Saccharomyces cerevisiae S288C: one gene and its partners. Changing the gene in region 2 together with the main gene of any one other region gives a genetic interaction. Each region holds a gene or a part of one and is shown on either strand. Other genes may lie near its edges.

Region 1 (3,839 bases), 1.3 Mb from region 2:
CTTTAATTGGGGCGACTTTTGGCTTACTTATGCTGTTGTTGCTAGAGTTTGTCGCAACTATATTGGTAACGTCGCTAAGTGCGACCCTCGGGTGCGCAGATGAAATATGACTGAGGGATCCAGTCCTGTGTTTAAGATTACCTATAGGTGCCACATTTTCATCCTCGGGGCTCCTGATGTGTCCAGAGCTCAAAGACTGTGAGTTATGATGCATTTATAATAAGCAATGATAAAAAGGACAAAATATCTCTATGTTTTAAAGCGAAGGACAGAAACAATAAATAGCTTTTTCTCTGCAATTTTCTTTTCTTTTCTTCTAAGCAAGCAGCTAAAAATTTCTGATCGTTTTCTTTCGACCGGATCAAAAATGTTTTTATGTGTCCATGTTCTTGCATTTCAATATTTTTGTTTTCTTTTGTTTTGTTTTGTTCCTTCGCTTGTCGCCTCGTTCTGCTGAAAAGCGGGAGAGAAAAAAGGCAGTGCGGGTAACTGAGATGTTTTCATTCTTCCTGCTTTATGGTTCCGGAGTCATCAGTAAAGAGGAATATTTTGCCGCTAGAATTACCACCTGCAATCCAGTTTCGCAGCGGGTGCCAACTAATTACAGCTGGGACAGTAGCTGTGGGTAGGTGAGCCAGTTGCTGGCCTTCGCTGTTGTATATGTCGATGGCGCGCTTCATGTTAGCTATTGCAAAAACATTCTTGTTCGGCTTGAACCTGGCCTTGAGGATGCTTGTCCATCTTCCTGTTTGGCAATTGTGCTGAATCGTTAGTTTGGGCTCCAACTTCGCAGAAAGGTGATCCCTACTCTTGACATCGAATAAGCGGATGGTATCGTCATAGCCATTGCACACTAAGGTGCCATCTGTCGGTGAGTAAGAAACTGCAGAGACGCTCAATCTTGAGTCATATGTGGAGACAATTTCATGACTGGGATAGTCTTCATATTGTGACCACTCTGGCTTTTTAACAAGGTTTCTTGTATCCCAGATTTTGAGTGTTCTATCAAGTGATCCGGTGGCAATCTCGTAGGGTCTCATGGGATTTATTGCCATAGACCCGATCTTCTTGTCTGCGAGTCTTCGCAGATTATACTCTGATTTTTTTACTCTTGTGTCAAACGTGGTGAATTCACCACCTAATGTGGTGAGGAATAAAACATTTGGGTTTTCGTAGCTAAACTGGCAATCGCTGATACCCAGTGAATCGTCATATTCATTTTTCAAGGTGAGAACCTCTTCACTCTGTAAGTTATTCAAGTGAACTGACCTGATGCTTCCGTCGTAAGAGGTGAGCAATATCTTCGATGTGTCCGCAGGGAAGCAATCAATACGGCCGACGTTTTTGGTAAATAGTTTCACTCTGGTGATATCGGGTTCTTCCATTCGGTCCTCTTCGCTGTCAGCTAGTGGTTCATCTCTAACGTTCCAAAAACCCACAGTACCGCTTGTATCACCTGCAATTATTAGCTTTTTTTCCATAGCAGGATGGAAGTAAGTGGCAGAGATTCTTTCGTATGTAATCTTAATTTCGTTCGGTTGAAAAACGTCATATAGATCCAAATCAAATTCGTCCATCCCCGTAACGTCACCCTGTCTCTTTTTTATTTCTTCAAAGAAATCACCAGAAGAAAAGTTTCCGTTATTAAACCTCTTGAATTTCTCTAAAAGGGCACTTTCGTCTTCATCCTTGATCAGATCACTTAATTTCACATCTCCTATTACAGGTTTCTCCTTTATTGCGTCTATAAAATTCTTATCCTGGCCATCTGGAGAACCCATTTTAAGCAACTGATTATCGTTCACATTGGGTATTCCTTTCACATCGTCTGCAGACTCACCCCTTAGCCTTCTTGATCTTCGTGTAGGTAAAGTGGGACTCGCAGACTTGGTTGCTCTGGTATTAGTTGTTTTTTGTTTCTTTTTTGCAGGAGCTCTAGATTTTTCCAACACCCCAGCCTCGTGCTTAATTTGAGATGCTACTCCAGACAAATGGAGTTTTTTCAATAAATCGTTATTCCTTTTGATGTTCTCTAAACGTTTTTTCTGAAATTCTGTTAATTCCGGCATTCTTGACTGAAAAGCAGCTTTCTTTTAATTGCCGTACTAAAATAGATCGCCTATTGTGTACTATTGACGACAAATGCAAGATTAAAGGGTTTTTATCTTCTCTTTAACAATTGTTCAAATATACATTTACCTCTTTTGGCGTTATTATAATTGTAACATGTCAGAAATTGAACATTAACAAAAAACGCGTAATATGGGGTCCTCGGGTGAAAAATTAACGATGGGCTTTTGAAAAAAGGTACGAGCATATAAAGCGAGTACAGTCATTGTGTGCCACCAAGTAGGAAACAAAACACCGCTTAGAGAGAAACAGCAAGTGGTGAAAAACAATGAGTAATATTTTGGCAGTGTTCAACCCTCCACCACAAAGGGAGCTGGAAAAAGAAGAGACTATGGATTGCGTTCCTTGTCAAGTCATGAGCACTATGTTTTCTGTTGGATTTGGCTCATACTTGGCATCTGGGAAACCATTCAAGTATGGTAAAAAAGAAGCCAAAAGAGGCATTTCTCTGACTGAATTTGAAAAAAGAAACCCACAATGGTGGAAAGTAACTTTACGTAGCTTCGGTGGGTTATTAATCGCCTTCGGTTTCGTTAGAGGAACCGAAGGTTGGTTGTGGCATAAAAATAAAGAATATAAGAACTATAAGAAATTAAGTAACGATGGTGAAACACAGGCTAACTAGTATTATTCGCAAGCTTCTCTCAATCGTGAAATTTTCTGTACATAAAGTGCTACTTTGATGATTATTTTTAAAAATATTGTTACATTAGAAAATTGGTTTGTGATTTACATAATCAGGAGAGTCTATATATATATGAATATAGCTTTGAGAAAGGGATGTGAAAAAAAGTGCAATATGTTCCTAACTAATGTTATCGCATGCATTCAATGGGTTGATCTTTCCGATTGTTTCTTTTCTAACTTGGCACGGTCCAAGGCTTCTCTTTTAATTCTCTTGTCTTCCTTTATTTTAGATTTTATTTTTCTACACCAATGTCTAAATTTATCATCTTTAGACGGTGATACGTATTTCATTATAAGATCATGATGTAGCAATTCATGAATCGATGACCTTTCCCTTTCATTCTTAATACAACACCTATTGACAAAATCTGTCATTTCCTTGGAATAGATACGGTCTTTGGGTAATCTTGGTGAAGGCTCGTTGACAATACGTTGCAGCAAATCCAATATGCCATCAGGTGTATCGTTATGCCCACCTAGGGGAAACTCTCCAGTTACCAGCTCGATGATCATTAAGCCCAATGACCAAACGTCCCCTTTGATAGAATAAACGTTTCCTTGTATCCTCTCTGGTGACATATAAGTGGACGTTCCAACAAATGTATCAGCGATAGAATTTATTAGTTTTTTGGAAACTCCAAAATCACATAACTTAATCTGCCCCTTACTATTAATCAGAACATTGGAAGGCTTGATATCACGATGAATGATCTTATATTGTCGGTACAAATGATCCAAGCCATTTAGTACGCCATACGCTATTTTTGATATTGTTAATTCGTTGAACCAGGTTTTCTTACTCGAAACAGTCCCTCTTTGAACAAACCTTTTATAAACGGACAGTATTTTATCTAAAGAACCACAATCAGAGTATTCCATTAAAATTATGATTTCATTATTTATATGCTGGTTATAATAAGCTCCATAGAAGGTGATAATGTTTTCATGGGGCTTAACGTTTTTGACGATAGATAATTCCCTAACTAATTGGTTGATGATTGTACTGTTATTCTGTTCCACAG
Region 2 (4,933 bases):
TAACAGACCTTGATTAAATGTAAACTACATATAAGTTTATAAGGGTTGGTTGATTCCATTATTTTTTGTTTTTTATATAAAGCCTATGAAAAATAAATGGAAGCGGCTGTTAGAATATAAAATAGAAGTTGAAACAACAAAAATGTAAGAAAGTTGCCAACAATAAATCTCAAACTTGAAAGTGTGGATCGAGGAATATGGACAATCTTTAAAAAATTTTTAGTCCCGTAGTTTTTCGAATTTTTCCTTACCAGTGACCATGAAACCATGATTGGGAGACGTATAAGTAATTTTTATCAAAGTTAAACAGAATAATGAACATTTTCTTCTATTTCTCCCTGTGAAGTTTTCATATAGAAAAAAACATAAGGGAAAGAAAATATTGATAATAGAAAGATAGTACCAAATTGAATTGGCAGGAAAATAGGTAAACAACGAACAGAAACGATAAAACAAAATAACATAAAAAAAGTAGACAAAAATAAAAACAAAAACAAAAACAAACAAAAACAAAAACAATGAAAAAATGTTAACAAAATAATGGCAAATGGTTGTCTTTTCTTTTAGAAAATTTATAGTTACAACAAGGAAATAACAGATCATTTAATGAAATAATTCGTGAACTAATTCTTCATACACAGCAATCTGAAAGTTGTCGAGTTCAATTTCGTTCAACGGAGGTGCAAAATTAACTCTGTTATTCCCCCTGTTCTGCGAAAACTCATTGACATTCATTAAATCTTCAGCATTGTAATTTTTTACTATGTTTTGATATAATTTCAGCTCTTTTTGTTGTTTATCATAATACTTAGAATCAATAGACAGATTATTCGGGATGGCACACAACCAAATTCTTGTCTTGTAATATTTGAACAGCTCTTTTATCAAGTCTCTAAAATCATTTCTCTCCTCACAAACGTAGTAAAACGTTAATTTCTTTCTATCAAATTGGAATTCTGCGTTTAAAATCTTGATATTCAATTTAGGCTTTGAATAAGTTGCAGCATTCGTAAAATTATTGGAAGAACTGTCATTTGTATTTTGAGATTTTGAATTATCATTTAACGCTTGTAATTTACTCTGAGCAATATGCAAGGCTTTTAATTCATCTTCAAATTTATTGTGCAAATTCGTTGTTACCTCCCACGGGGTGGCAAAACGTAAGACTTGTTTAGATGGTATGATTAACTCAGTTAATTCAACAACATCATACAATTTGGGATTTAATTTTTTCTTTTGCCCATTTTTTGAGTCAATCAACATTTGAATAAACTCATCATTGCGATAGTGCTGTGACTCACTTGTAATTAAAGAGTCAAAGTGAATTTTCTTTTTCAGAAAATTTATAAATAATGCTAAATTCAAATCGACAGAGGGCTCAACAACCAATACTAAATCCCTTCCACGGTCACCATCAATAATAACCAAGTCACCTCTCTTTAACAACAAATTGGTAGCTTGTGGAGTAGATAGTAGTTCAAGTTTCCCATTTTTCAAAGCAACCAGTACCAATGGTGTATAAGGTAAAAAGGAGTTATTAGCATTCCTGCATGATAGTTCTGTTGTGAAAGAGCCCTTCCTCCTATTTTTATTGCCTCCATTATTGGAAACAATTCCATTATTCGACTCTGGATCATTAACGTAATTCATGTTGCAACTTCTTAAAATGTCCAAGAAATTTAATAAAGATTGGTATGTATTACCTTCTTCATCGATTAAGCCCATGTTCTTCGCGTCGTAACTTTCATTAGAATCGTGCAACTTCAGCATTTTCTTAATATTATCTGTGAATTCAAAAACTGCAGAGCTAGCAAAATAGCCGCTGCCACAGTCGCTGTATAAATCGTGTAAGGTTTTGGACGAAGTCAAGTGTTTACCCTGAATTAAAACTAAACCATTGTCCAAAGATACATTTCCTTCATTGCTGTTCTCGTTCTGAAGGTTATGTGAGTTTGTAGAAGAAGGGACAGAACTGCTTCTTTGAAGTTGAACAAGCTGAACATCATCAACACGTTCGCCATTGAAAGAAGTAGGTACATTAACGTTTCTTGGTTGTTGTGGTTGTTGTGGTTGTTGCTGTTGTTGTTGAAAAGTAGGAAGGGATGGATTGAAGCTCGCTACCGGTTGTGTATTCCGGCGAAACTGTTGCATTGGAACCATATTGTGACTGTTGTTGTTGTTATTACTATTGCTGATACTGGCATTATTAGGCTCGTTATCATAAGGATACGGAGGTTGTACACCATTTCCAAACTCGGGCACACCTTTGGCGGTCAAATGGGTTGAGTTCAAGTTGTCATAGTTGAATCTGCTATTGAAAAGATTGAAACCTTGAGCGTGTTGCTGCTGCACTTGGGATGTTTGCTTTTGCCGAGCGTCAGGCATTTGATGGTTGATTAGAGTATCTGATATGTAGGAGGATCTCCTAATGGTAGACTCTGGATGAGATGGCTGTTGCCAATTAAATGATGGTACTTGTTGGTTGTTCATACTAGATGGGTTGCCAGCACTGTGTGATGGGGCAGCAAAATTGCTGCCGCTATTGGAAGTAAAACCTATGTTTGTTTTATTCATTAAACGCATGTAGTCTGAATCCATCCGATTCCCCATTAGGTCGTTTCCATTTGAATGAAATGAATTTCCATTAAATTGCGGGAACGACCGTTGTTGAGCTTGATAATTACCCATTTGAGTAGAGTTTAAATTATTGTTATTGGATGAAATGGGCGGTGCGGACATCGGCTCTGAATTAGACGAAGACATTTGAAAAGAGGTCAAATTACTGGAAGGGTGTTCTTGAATGAACCCGTTCTGGTGAGAAAACGGTTGCTGTTGTTGATTTGGCACTGGTGGCAAATACGGAAACCTACCCATAAAATCAATATCGTCAAAAGTCCTCCTGTTTTCCATACCATTTCCCGCACTTTTTATTGAGTTTCTCAAATTATTCAGGCCAGCAAGCGGATCAACCGTATCACTTCCTGAATTATTGGAGTTATCATTCAGTTTACGGGGTAAATCGGATAGCGATTTTCCGCTGTTATTCTTGAAAAGCAAGTCCTCATAGTAGTTCTTTAAATCCACATTGTCGGAAATGCTTGTTGTGCTATTAACAGTTGGGAGGTCCATTTTGCAACTGTATTTCTATTGAGCACTGTATCAGACACCGCTTTTTTTGATTTATCCTTCGTTTTTTTCTCTATAATTCTCTTGAGCCTTTCAATACACTTTATTCTTTTCTATATACGCTGTTTACTATATCAAAGAACACTCGAACTGATGCTATCTCTGTTTCTAACTGCCGAACCAATGAAAAATACAGCTCTTAATTATCAGTGAATCCTTCTTCTTATCCTTTATTTATTTTTGTTTTGTTCCTTTAGCTAAAACACGGATCCGTAATGTTATCCAACACGATTAGGGGAAGGATTCGTCTCCAAAAAACCGTTATGACCCAATCCTATATGACCTACGGCAGTCAGAGAAATACAGGTTTTCGCACTCGGAGGCGATTGTCGCCAATGGAAAGCTAGCCGATACTTTTTCCGTCAGCTTTGCGGGTTTTCTTTTTTGCGGCCTTGTAAACGGCTGTGGGAAAAGCGAAAAAAAGCAATGAGTTGGGAGAAATGGATGTGATTACATGAGCAACCAGTAGAAGATAGCATCAACCGCACACATGATTAGGATGTAGACGGCTATTACCTTGGACTTATTTTGTTCAAGTGCGGCTGTATGGACAACAGTGTTAGGGTCAGGTTCCTTGGTAGGGTACGATAATACAGCTGTAGTTGCTTGTTTGGTACTGTCCTCGGTTGTTGTCGGAACCTCAAAGACAATGCCAAGCCCCTTCATCATGTGCCACTCCACATGACAATGTAAAAGCCATTTTCCGGGCATCTCGGTGTTAATTCTCAAAACCGCGTAAGAATTTCCTGCAATGTTAATGCTATCCCTTACCATCGGTGCCTTTCCGGTTCGGGCCAGGTGACGTAAATCGTTCTGATAGCGGCTCCATGCCTTGCCCTCTTGTACGTCTTTGTGAAATGGGCCATCACCTTTATTGCCAAGAGATATTATCTGGAAGTGATGGCCATGCATATGCCATGGGTGTCTCATGTGGTCCAGTGAGTTGATTACAATATCATATGTTTCGTTGAATCCGAACCTTACCGGGTCTTTTACGTACTCGCTGAATGTCCGTTCGTTCACCTTATACATCCCAGTCCCATACTTTTGTTTCGTGCTTTCATCTTTGTAATAAGCATAATCGAATTCGAAAACTGCAACAGGATCAGCCTTTGTGCGTAACTTTTTATTCTCTTCTTGCGTTGGTTCTATGTCGCGATAAAGCTCGGCCTTAGTGAAACCAGGCAAGTGTTCGATGGAAACGTCATTGGGGTTCTTTGGTAGGTCCAAATGAGCGCCTTCTTTGTAAAACCACCACTGTTTTGTTATATAACCCATCATTTTGTTACAGCCATTAATCATACGAATAAAACTAGTGTCAGACTTTAGTTTGACCAAAATTGTATATCTTTGTCCGACCGCTAAATTTATCGTTTGTACAATGAACGGTTTAATCATAATCCCGTCGGCTTCTAGAACAATTAATTGGAATCCATCAAGGTGAAAGACTTGAGTACCAGACATTCCTGAGTTTACGATTCTCAAAAGAAGATACTCGGTGTTAAATCCTATTTTGATAGTTTCACCGTCAGATGATTTTCCATTTATTAATGATCCATCAAATTTGGGATCTGTACCCCCGGTAGATGACAAAACCTTGTCGTTTAAAATGTCCAAATTCCAATTGGTATACCAATCACTCAAAGTGATAATCCTTTCTTGAACTTCATAATCCGTCAATTCCTTCGTGTGTTTATCTTTTTTCATTGTAACAACACCGTCATCTAGTGTCTCTATGTCTCTCACA
Region 3 (7,734 bases), on a different chromosome or scaffold from region 2:
ATTGAATCGGTTATTTTCTTTATTTTATGTACCACCTTTAAGACTACTATCGAAGGATACGGGGTGAAAGAGTTCATGCCACTTAGTATATAACGCTCGTGTCGTCTTTTTCTGTTAATAATGCATATTCTCATTCTGTATATACAAAACATCTCATCATTATTTTTTTAAATAAAGGATATAAAGTCTTCCAAATTTTTAAAAAAAAGTTCGTTAACTGAAAATTTTACTCTGTGCATTGTTACTATCAATATTTTTCGAGCCTATCATGGTAGATTCATAACGGCTTTTCCAGAATTCAATTTCTTGGGCCATTTCCTGCACTTTGTCGCGGTAAGAAGAATTATCTCTAATGGATTTTTTCATCTCAAGCTCTTGTTGAGAAATGTACTTTTCTAAGTCAGAGATTTGAGCCTCATATTTCAAAGTAGCTTCCTCAAATTCGCTTCTATTTTTATTCGCTAGTTCTATTACATCTGTTTGTTGGGAGTTCTTAGTTTGTAACTCTTCCACTGCTCTCTCCAAACTCTTGTTCTTTTTCATTTCTTCATATTTCAAGTCCGTTTCTAGGCTTACCATATTTTCCAATTCATGAATCTTTGATAACCATGCGTTTTTTTCAGTAGTGTCTGATAATCTTTCATGCAAATTTTTTAGTTGAAGCTGTAAGTCGGTGTTGAGCTTTTGTAAAGTTTGATTTTCTTCATATAAATCAATATTCTTCTGCTTCTCATCATCAAACTTATCTTTATATCCATTGCAGCTGGCCTGTAATGTCTTAACCAACTCCCCATTCCTTGAATTTTGTTCCATTTGCAGTTGTAGTGTTTCCTCCAGATATTTGATTTTTTCAGTAATCTCTTTATTCTTTTGTGTGGAACTTGAGAGTGCTGCGTTTGATATCTGTAGCGCATCAGTCTTTTGATTTAAGTCAGATTCCAGTTCCTGCTTGATTTTAGTCAAAGACACTATCTTTCCTTTAAGAGACTCGCATTCAGTATTGAGTGCCTCGTATTTCTGATAAAGTTCTTTTTCTGCAAGAGAAATAGCATCTTTTTCGTTGTTCAACATTTCCACCACTTTTGTATAATGATCGAGCTGCTTCAGCAGATCGGAGATTTTTGCTTCAGAATCATTAGTCGAAGTTTCCAGTTTGTACTTAAGGGTTGCAAATTCTTTTTTTAAGTTTGTTTCAGCTTTTAAAGAGCAGTTCAATTCTTCCTTTAATCTATTAATCTCATCCGTATATTGGGATCTATCTTCTACAGCGCTCAATCGCTCCTTTAAATGGGCCAAATCATCACTCAGGATTTTCTTTACATCTTGGACTCTCTTCAACTCCAGCAGAGTTTCCTGTAATTGCATATCTGAGTCATTTCTTTCCATTTCGCGCTCCCAGATTAACTTTTCCTTTTGCTTATTTTGAGTTTTCAATTTTTCAATGATAGACGCCATATTCTTTACGTCCTCTTCAGCTTGTTTTAGTGCATGAATATGTTCTCTTAGCCGCAGTTCATTCCCTTGCAGATCGTCCATGCAGTTTTCAAATTGCTGTTTCTGCTGTTTTATTGTGGATGATAGTAGTTCTTTTTGGCGTTCCGTAGATTCAAGGTCTTTCTGTAATCTGTCTAATTGTTCACTAAGTAGGGCTTCTTTGGATTTTGATTGCCTCAAGTCAAGAGTGAGTTGGCTCAATTTTCCATTTGATTCATTTAATATTTCTTGGAGCTTGTAGTTTTCAAGTTTATAATAGCGAATTTCTTCTTCATATTTTGAAATGCTATCACGGTTCTTTATAATATCTCCGACAGGTAAATTTGTTCGATCACGTAAAGGCATGGTTTTTAGCTTGTCTTCCAAGGATTTGACTCTTTCTTCACTGGCTTCGAACTTCAGTTTGTAAATATCAGAAGATGACAGGGAGCTTTCCCCTTGGATCTTTCTAAATTTACTGTGTAAAGCAGATATGGCATTTTCTGCATCGTAGTGAGCTCTTGTTTCGATATCCAATTGTCTTTTTAAATAATCGACCTCAAGCATTAATTTGTTAATATCAGACTCTTTGTCAGGGCAGTTATCTAGCGGCTCATTTAGAATACTGTCCAAAGGAATACTAGGGTCCATATCCTGGATCAATTTTTTTAATTTCTTCATTTGTGCCTTAATCTTTTGGTCCTCAAAAGACGAAGATGCTAGTCTTGTTTCAGTGAATCTCAATCTAGAAATTAAGTTCTTCTTCTCTTCAATTTCATTCTCTAGATTCCTAGTTATTTCAGTAAACGCTAATTGAAGGTCATAGTATTTTTTTATTATATCTTCTTTGTCAAGTGGATCATCTGAATACGATGTGGAACGTCTAGTAGACGAAATATTCGTTTCTACAGAATTTCCTGATATTCTTTTGTTTAAGTATTGATTTAAGGATATTTCCTGTGACAACCGAGCTTCCAATTCTTTAATTTTACTATCGTTCAGAGACTCAACCAGGCTATTTCTTTTCTTTTGCTCCTGTTCCTTCGTTTCTCTTTGGAAGTTGGAATATTCTTCTTTAATCTTTTGATAGTTAGATTTATACTCGGTAAGTTGGATTCTTGTCTCTTTTAGTTCAGCAGTAATTTTACCATGTTCGCTAACTGCGTCATCTCTTTGCTTGGAAAAAGTAGCAAGCTCTTTTTTGTGATTATCTATTTTTTCTTTCATCTTTAACAGTTCACTTTCCTTATTTTTCAACTGGTTATTCAGTGCTGCCTTTTCTTTCTTGAAATTCTCATTTTTCGAACGCAAATCTGAATTTTCTGTTACAAGGGATTGTAGTCTTGACATCGCAATGTTACAATTTTTCTCTAAAGTGACCAATTTTATGTCAAGATCTTCTTCTGAGGAACTTAACTTATCGTTGAACGATTTTATTTCTTCCTCCTTCGAGTTTATGACATCTTTTAATCTCTTTATTTCGTTTTCTAGCTTCAATTTAGATTCTTTGATTAAAGACTGGGAGCTCTGTTCCTTAGAAATGTCACAGTTCAAGTCTGATATTTGCTTTATTAGTTCGTTATTTTTTGAGTGTAATTTCTCTAAGGTCGCCTCCCGTTCTCTAATAGTTTCTTGAAGGCCTTGGATTTTTTGATGAGCTTCTTCAAGATTTTGCGCAACTTCTAGTTTTTCCCTGCTAATTTCATCCTTTTCAGAAACAAGGTCATCGAATTGTTTTTGTAATGTTTCTGAGCTGGTTTTAACTCTATTTAATAAGCTCTCATTTTTTCTTAAATTCTCTTTCTCCTGATTTAGCAAGTCCTGCGTATTTTCCAACTCATTGACAGTTTTTTGGTTCTTTTCTTCCAAAAACTTCTTCTTAGATTCCATTTCTTGAAGGTCGTTCTTCAGTTTATTAATTTGCTCGTTGAATTTTTTGGTTCTGGTCATGTCATTGGATGATGTTAAAAGTGGCTTGATCCTGATAAATAAATTAAACCAAGGATCTTCCTTCACCAGTCTATTGTATAATCTGAAGGTATTACCAATCACCCTTGTTTTCTTTAATTTTTGTAGATGGTACGTTATTTCTTTTCTTACTGTGTAACCTCGTATAGTTGCTGTTAGTTTAATCATAATATTATTCAGCTTAACATCTTTTTGTTTTTCCAAATCTGCCAATACTCCAGCTTTGAAAAACAGTTTAGTATTACCAATTTTATAAACTTTTGTATCCAGTTGCAAAGACGTTAGAAGAAACTCACAGTTTTGTTTGGTACTGGCTTTTAATTTAGAACTGAAAGTCGTGGTGGTTGAATTTTCAGGATACAAGATCCTATACCGCTGGAAAAATTCTTGGAATGCTATCCTATTTGGGTAACCTTCTCTGGCAAGTCTAATACCCTCTAGCACACCATTACAACGTAATTGATCTAAGATTAACCTTCTGTTAAATGTTTTCACTTTTTTCACGTTGTTTGGAATTATACAACGAACAAAATGTGGGTGGGTAGAAGCTAGTTGATTTAGTAATGTTATCTGCTGTTCTCTATGGCGTGATGATGTAGTCTTGAAGGTACTTGTCCTAGCTGATTTCTTAACTTCTTGGTTGGAGATGTTGGCTTCCACACCAGCACTAGAAGATTTTTCGCCCTCTGGCTGGAACAGTTTTGAAATGATATCGTTTTGTGAAGAAGACAACAAAGACAAGAGATTATCGTTTAAAGGATCTTTGTTTTTGGATAACCAGCCTTCCACAGTGTATTCCACATCCCCAGCATAGTGTTTCAAAATGAACCCATTTTTTAATCTTGAACGTTTAAACTTTGAAGAGTTTTGGTCCCAAGTTGAGATCAGTTTAGAGTAGAATGACTCATCAGTGGATTTGGGCAAAACGGCTTCCTCATCCAACAACGGTAGTACACCGGTCGGTGGCCCCTTGCTTTCGATCAAATCAATCGTCAGTTGCAAATCTTTTCCGTAATCTATATAATCCCATTGAATGTTTTCCTTTAAATATTCGCTCTGTTCTAAAACAAACATATGGTTATTAAAGAACTGCTGTAATTTTTCATTTGTATAGTTGATGCATAATTGTTCAAAGGAATTATTTTCGAATATTTCAAAACCAGCAATATCCAACAATCCAATGTAATTCAAAGTTGCACTCCCATGGTCCAAGTTTTTATTAATCATATCCACAATATATCCGAACAACCGCTCATAAAGATTTCTTGATAAGGCATTCAAGATGAACTTAGCTTGTTGAGAGTTTTTGGACTGTGAAACCCACTCTTTTCCGGCTTTTGATCTAGGCCTTAATATGGCAGTTTGGAAATCTTTTTCGTCCACGCCTAAATTGCTACAAATTGCGCTAACATCATTTTTGAAAGATGCTTGTTCTGCTCTGTCTGATACGAACTCAATGTTACCGATTAATAAAATAATTGCCACTACTTGAAATATCCATCTTATTTGATCTTTTGAAAACCCAATAATATTCAATGCCGAGAGCAGTTCTTTAAAATTCTCTACGTCGTTGATTCCTGGTATAATATCCTGGTTAGAATTGGATAAAATTTTGTAATCTTTTACGTTCCTAGATTTAAGGCGTAGATTTTTCAACTCAGAATCGTCTAAACCGGATAATAGTTGGTAAAATATATGATAATTTCTTTCTTTCGAATTTTGATGAACAATTCTTGATTTCTCTAAAAGGTACCACTCGATATGCGCACCATTGATCATACCATGTTCATTAAATTCTATCTTTATGAATTTACCGAATCTTGAAGAGTTGTTATTTCGTACAGTCTGTGCATTACCAAAAGACTCTAAGATAGGGTTACTTTGTAGAATTTTCATTTCGAAGCTTTCTACAATAGAACTACCACTAACAGGAGCTATATTGGAAGGAGAGCCAGAAGTTATAGATGCTAGATATTGTAGAATCTTTTTCGTATTTTCTGTCTTGCCCGCACCGGATTCACCAGTGACTAAAATAGATTGATCTTTTCCTTCAGATAAAAGATTCTCATAGGCTTCTTCTGCAATTGCAAATATATGCGGCGGCAGTTTTTCATGGGAGTTTTCATCCAATCTGCTCTTTGATAACCTGTTATGCTTGTTGTGGTACAAGTTTATATGGTCTTCAGAATATAAATTCAAATTGTGATAAGGGTTAATCGCCACTAAAAATAAGCCGGAATAGGTGTATATTAGATCACAATCGTACCTCTTTTCTAGGTTATAAAGCACAGACGGCTCATTCAAATGGGTTAACTCAGACATATTCTCTACTTTGTCAAAAGTCGATGGGTTAACTGGAAATACATCGGATATTCGTACCTGCACTAGATTAGAAACCTCTGTGGAATCCAACGGGTGGACAATTCCTATTTGTTCTTCTTGGCCTGTAAATTTATTCTTGTTGATATCGGTACTCATCAGCTCCCCTTTTACGAAAACTTCTTTCTCATCTGGTATCCAGACGATCATATTAGAACTGCAAGACTGCCCGCCGGTCATTATTGCTGTTGTTGTCCTGTCTAACTTTGTTATGATCTTCTAACCACGAAGTTCGCAGGATTCGAGATGTAATCAAGAAAAAAAAAGTAGTGTGGAAGAGTATGAATAAAGTAGCTGGTCATAAACAATGAACAATCAAAACAAATACACCAAGAAATTACAAATGTTTACGCAATTACCCTTTTGGGCTAAATGATGAAATCTCGAAATATTCCAAATTCCAAGGAGGGTAAGAAAAGCTATCTCAGCATTACCCTGTGAATATTTTTCCGATTTTTTTTTCACACCAAAAAAAAAGTAATGCTATACAATGACACATTTATGTAAAGGCTTTAACCCGGAAGAGAAAAGGGATATGTATGAAAATCAAATTCTCAAGAGGGGCTCGATTTTCAGCGACCTTTTCTTTTGATAAGTACCCTTTCTTGCTATACGAGGTGGTCCGATAATATGCCCCTCCTTTATCTTTTTGTTTAGCCTTTTGACTTCGTTTCACAATAGCATAAAACCATCCATGTAAAGGTATAAGGCAAGGTTTGCCTTCCACGTTGAAGTACTAAAAATAAATTTTACTTTTGACGGAACAATGAATGCTGCAAATATTCCATTGCGTGATTTGAAAAGCTACAATATTTGAAAAGGCAATGTGTCGCTTTATGAGTTAAAAGTGCCCTAGCTTGAGAAGGAGGTGATGCGTTACTAATGCTGTAACAAAGAAAATTTTGCGGACGGTTCTAATCAATCTTCCTGCGTCATGTCAGTGCGCTTTGTATGTCCTGCAGCAGTATTCGGGTAAGATCTTGACGGAGGAAAAAAAATGCTTTAATACGTAATGGTGCAACGATCTTCAAAAGGGATACTCAAGCGTAATATCCCTTTGTAAAAGCTACGTCCATTTTAGAGGAGATATAGGGATTAAGATTAACGCTTTGTTTAAAAGCCATGACCTTGATTATTAAACGCTATTTTTGTCGTCTAAACAATTTTTTTTTTTTGCACTTCTGATAAGTACAACTTGTAGAAGTTGTTTTTCATAAGAACATCAAGGGCAAAAAAAAATGTCGTAGAGATCGTCTATGCTTGCCTTCTTTGAAAAATCCTTTTCAAGTACTTACCTTAACGATCTTGGCTCGTTACTTATTATTTAATTTCAAAAAAATCTAAGAAATTTTCAAAGGAATATATACAGGGAGAATGTATATAAAGAAACGCTGAGCATGTAAATTGTATCTAGAGAAATTGTTAAGGTTCTGCTCTGTGTTGGCTATCCTATTTTTTTGTCTTTTTTTCTTTTAATTATACCGTATTAGGTCAAACGCTATGAGTGTTCGCTTATCATACGGCGCAAGCCTTGCGTCAATCCCAAGATGTTTCGACTTGAAATCTTCGAAGATTACTGTAATGGGGGATGATCATTCTGGAAAAACTTCTCTGGTTCGCAGTTGGCTAGGTAGTTCATTTCAAATATCAGATGCTAATCGTTATAGGGTTTCGGACCTCTACCACAAGACAATCCAATTTGATACTTTGGTAAAATACTATCGTACCTTTGGCGTAAAAGGACAGTTGCCGAATTATGCGGGTTTCAAAGCTAAAAACTCTGGCACAATTTATGAAAGTTGTGGCAATTTCCTAGAAGAGCGCCTGATCAATGCCAATAAATCGACTGCTCAAAGACGCACCAGTATTGATGTTCAAGTTTTTGATACCAATCAAATGGAGGTTTCGTACCTT

What was found. A genetic interaction does not mean that the proteins touch.
Region 1: mutations in PSP1 (region 2) and CMR1 impair growth when combined (synthetic growth defect), as found in Saccharomyces cerevisiae (2 studies listed by BioGRID, with this or other methods).
Region 3: of PSP1 (region 2) and MYO1, extra expression of one rescues a mutant of the other (dosage rescue), as found in Saccharomyces cerevisiae (one study listed by BioGRID).

Annotation. Positions count from the first base shown.
Region 1 is NC_001136.10:173,148-176,986, reverse strand, and holds CMR1 (Cmr1p), read right to left. Parts: upstream 2,070-3,839; coding exon 501-2,069; downstream 1-500. Other genes in the region: B-type cyclin CLB3, read right to left, coding at 1-214; DMO2 (Dmo2p), read left to right, coding at 2,399-2,755; mitogen-activated protein kinase kinase STE7, read right to left, coding at 2,959-3,839. UniProt on the Saccharomyces cerevisiae protein: DNA-binding protein that binds to both single- and double-stranded DNA. Binds preferentially to UV-damaged DNA in vitro. May be involved in DNA-metabolic processes.
Region 2 is NC_001136.10:1,456,092-1,461,024, forward strand, and holds PSP1 (Psp1p), read right to left. Parts: upstream 3,130-4,933; coding exon 604-3,129; downstream 1-603. Other genes in the region: SPG3 (Spg3p), read right to left, coding at 220-603; GMC1 (putative oxidoreductase), read right to left, coding at 3,637-4,933. UniProt on the Saccharomyces cerevisiae protein: DNA polymerase alpha mutation suppressor.
Region 3 is NC_001140.6:149,932-157,665, reverse strand, and holds MYO1 (myosin 1), read right to left. Parts: upstream 6,001-7,734; coding exon 214-6,000; downstream 1-213. Other genes in the region: YHR022C-A (uncharacterized protein), read left to right, coding at 6,360-6,449; YHR022C (uncharacterized protein), read left to right, coding at 7,321-7,734. UniProt on the Saccharomyces cerevisiae protein: Required for cell division.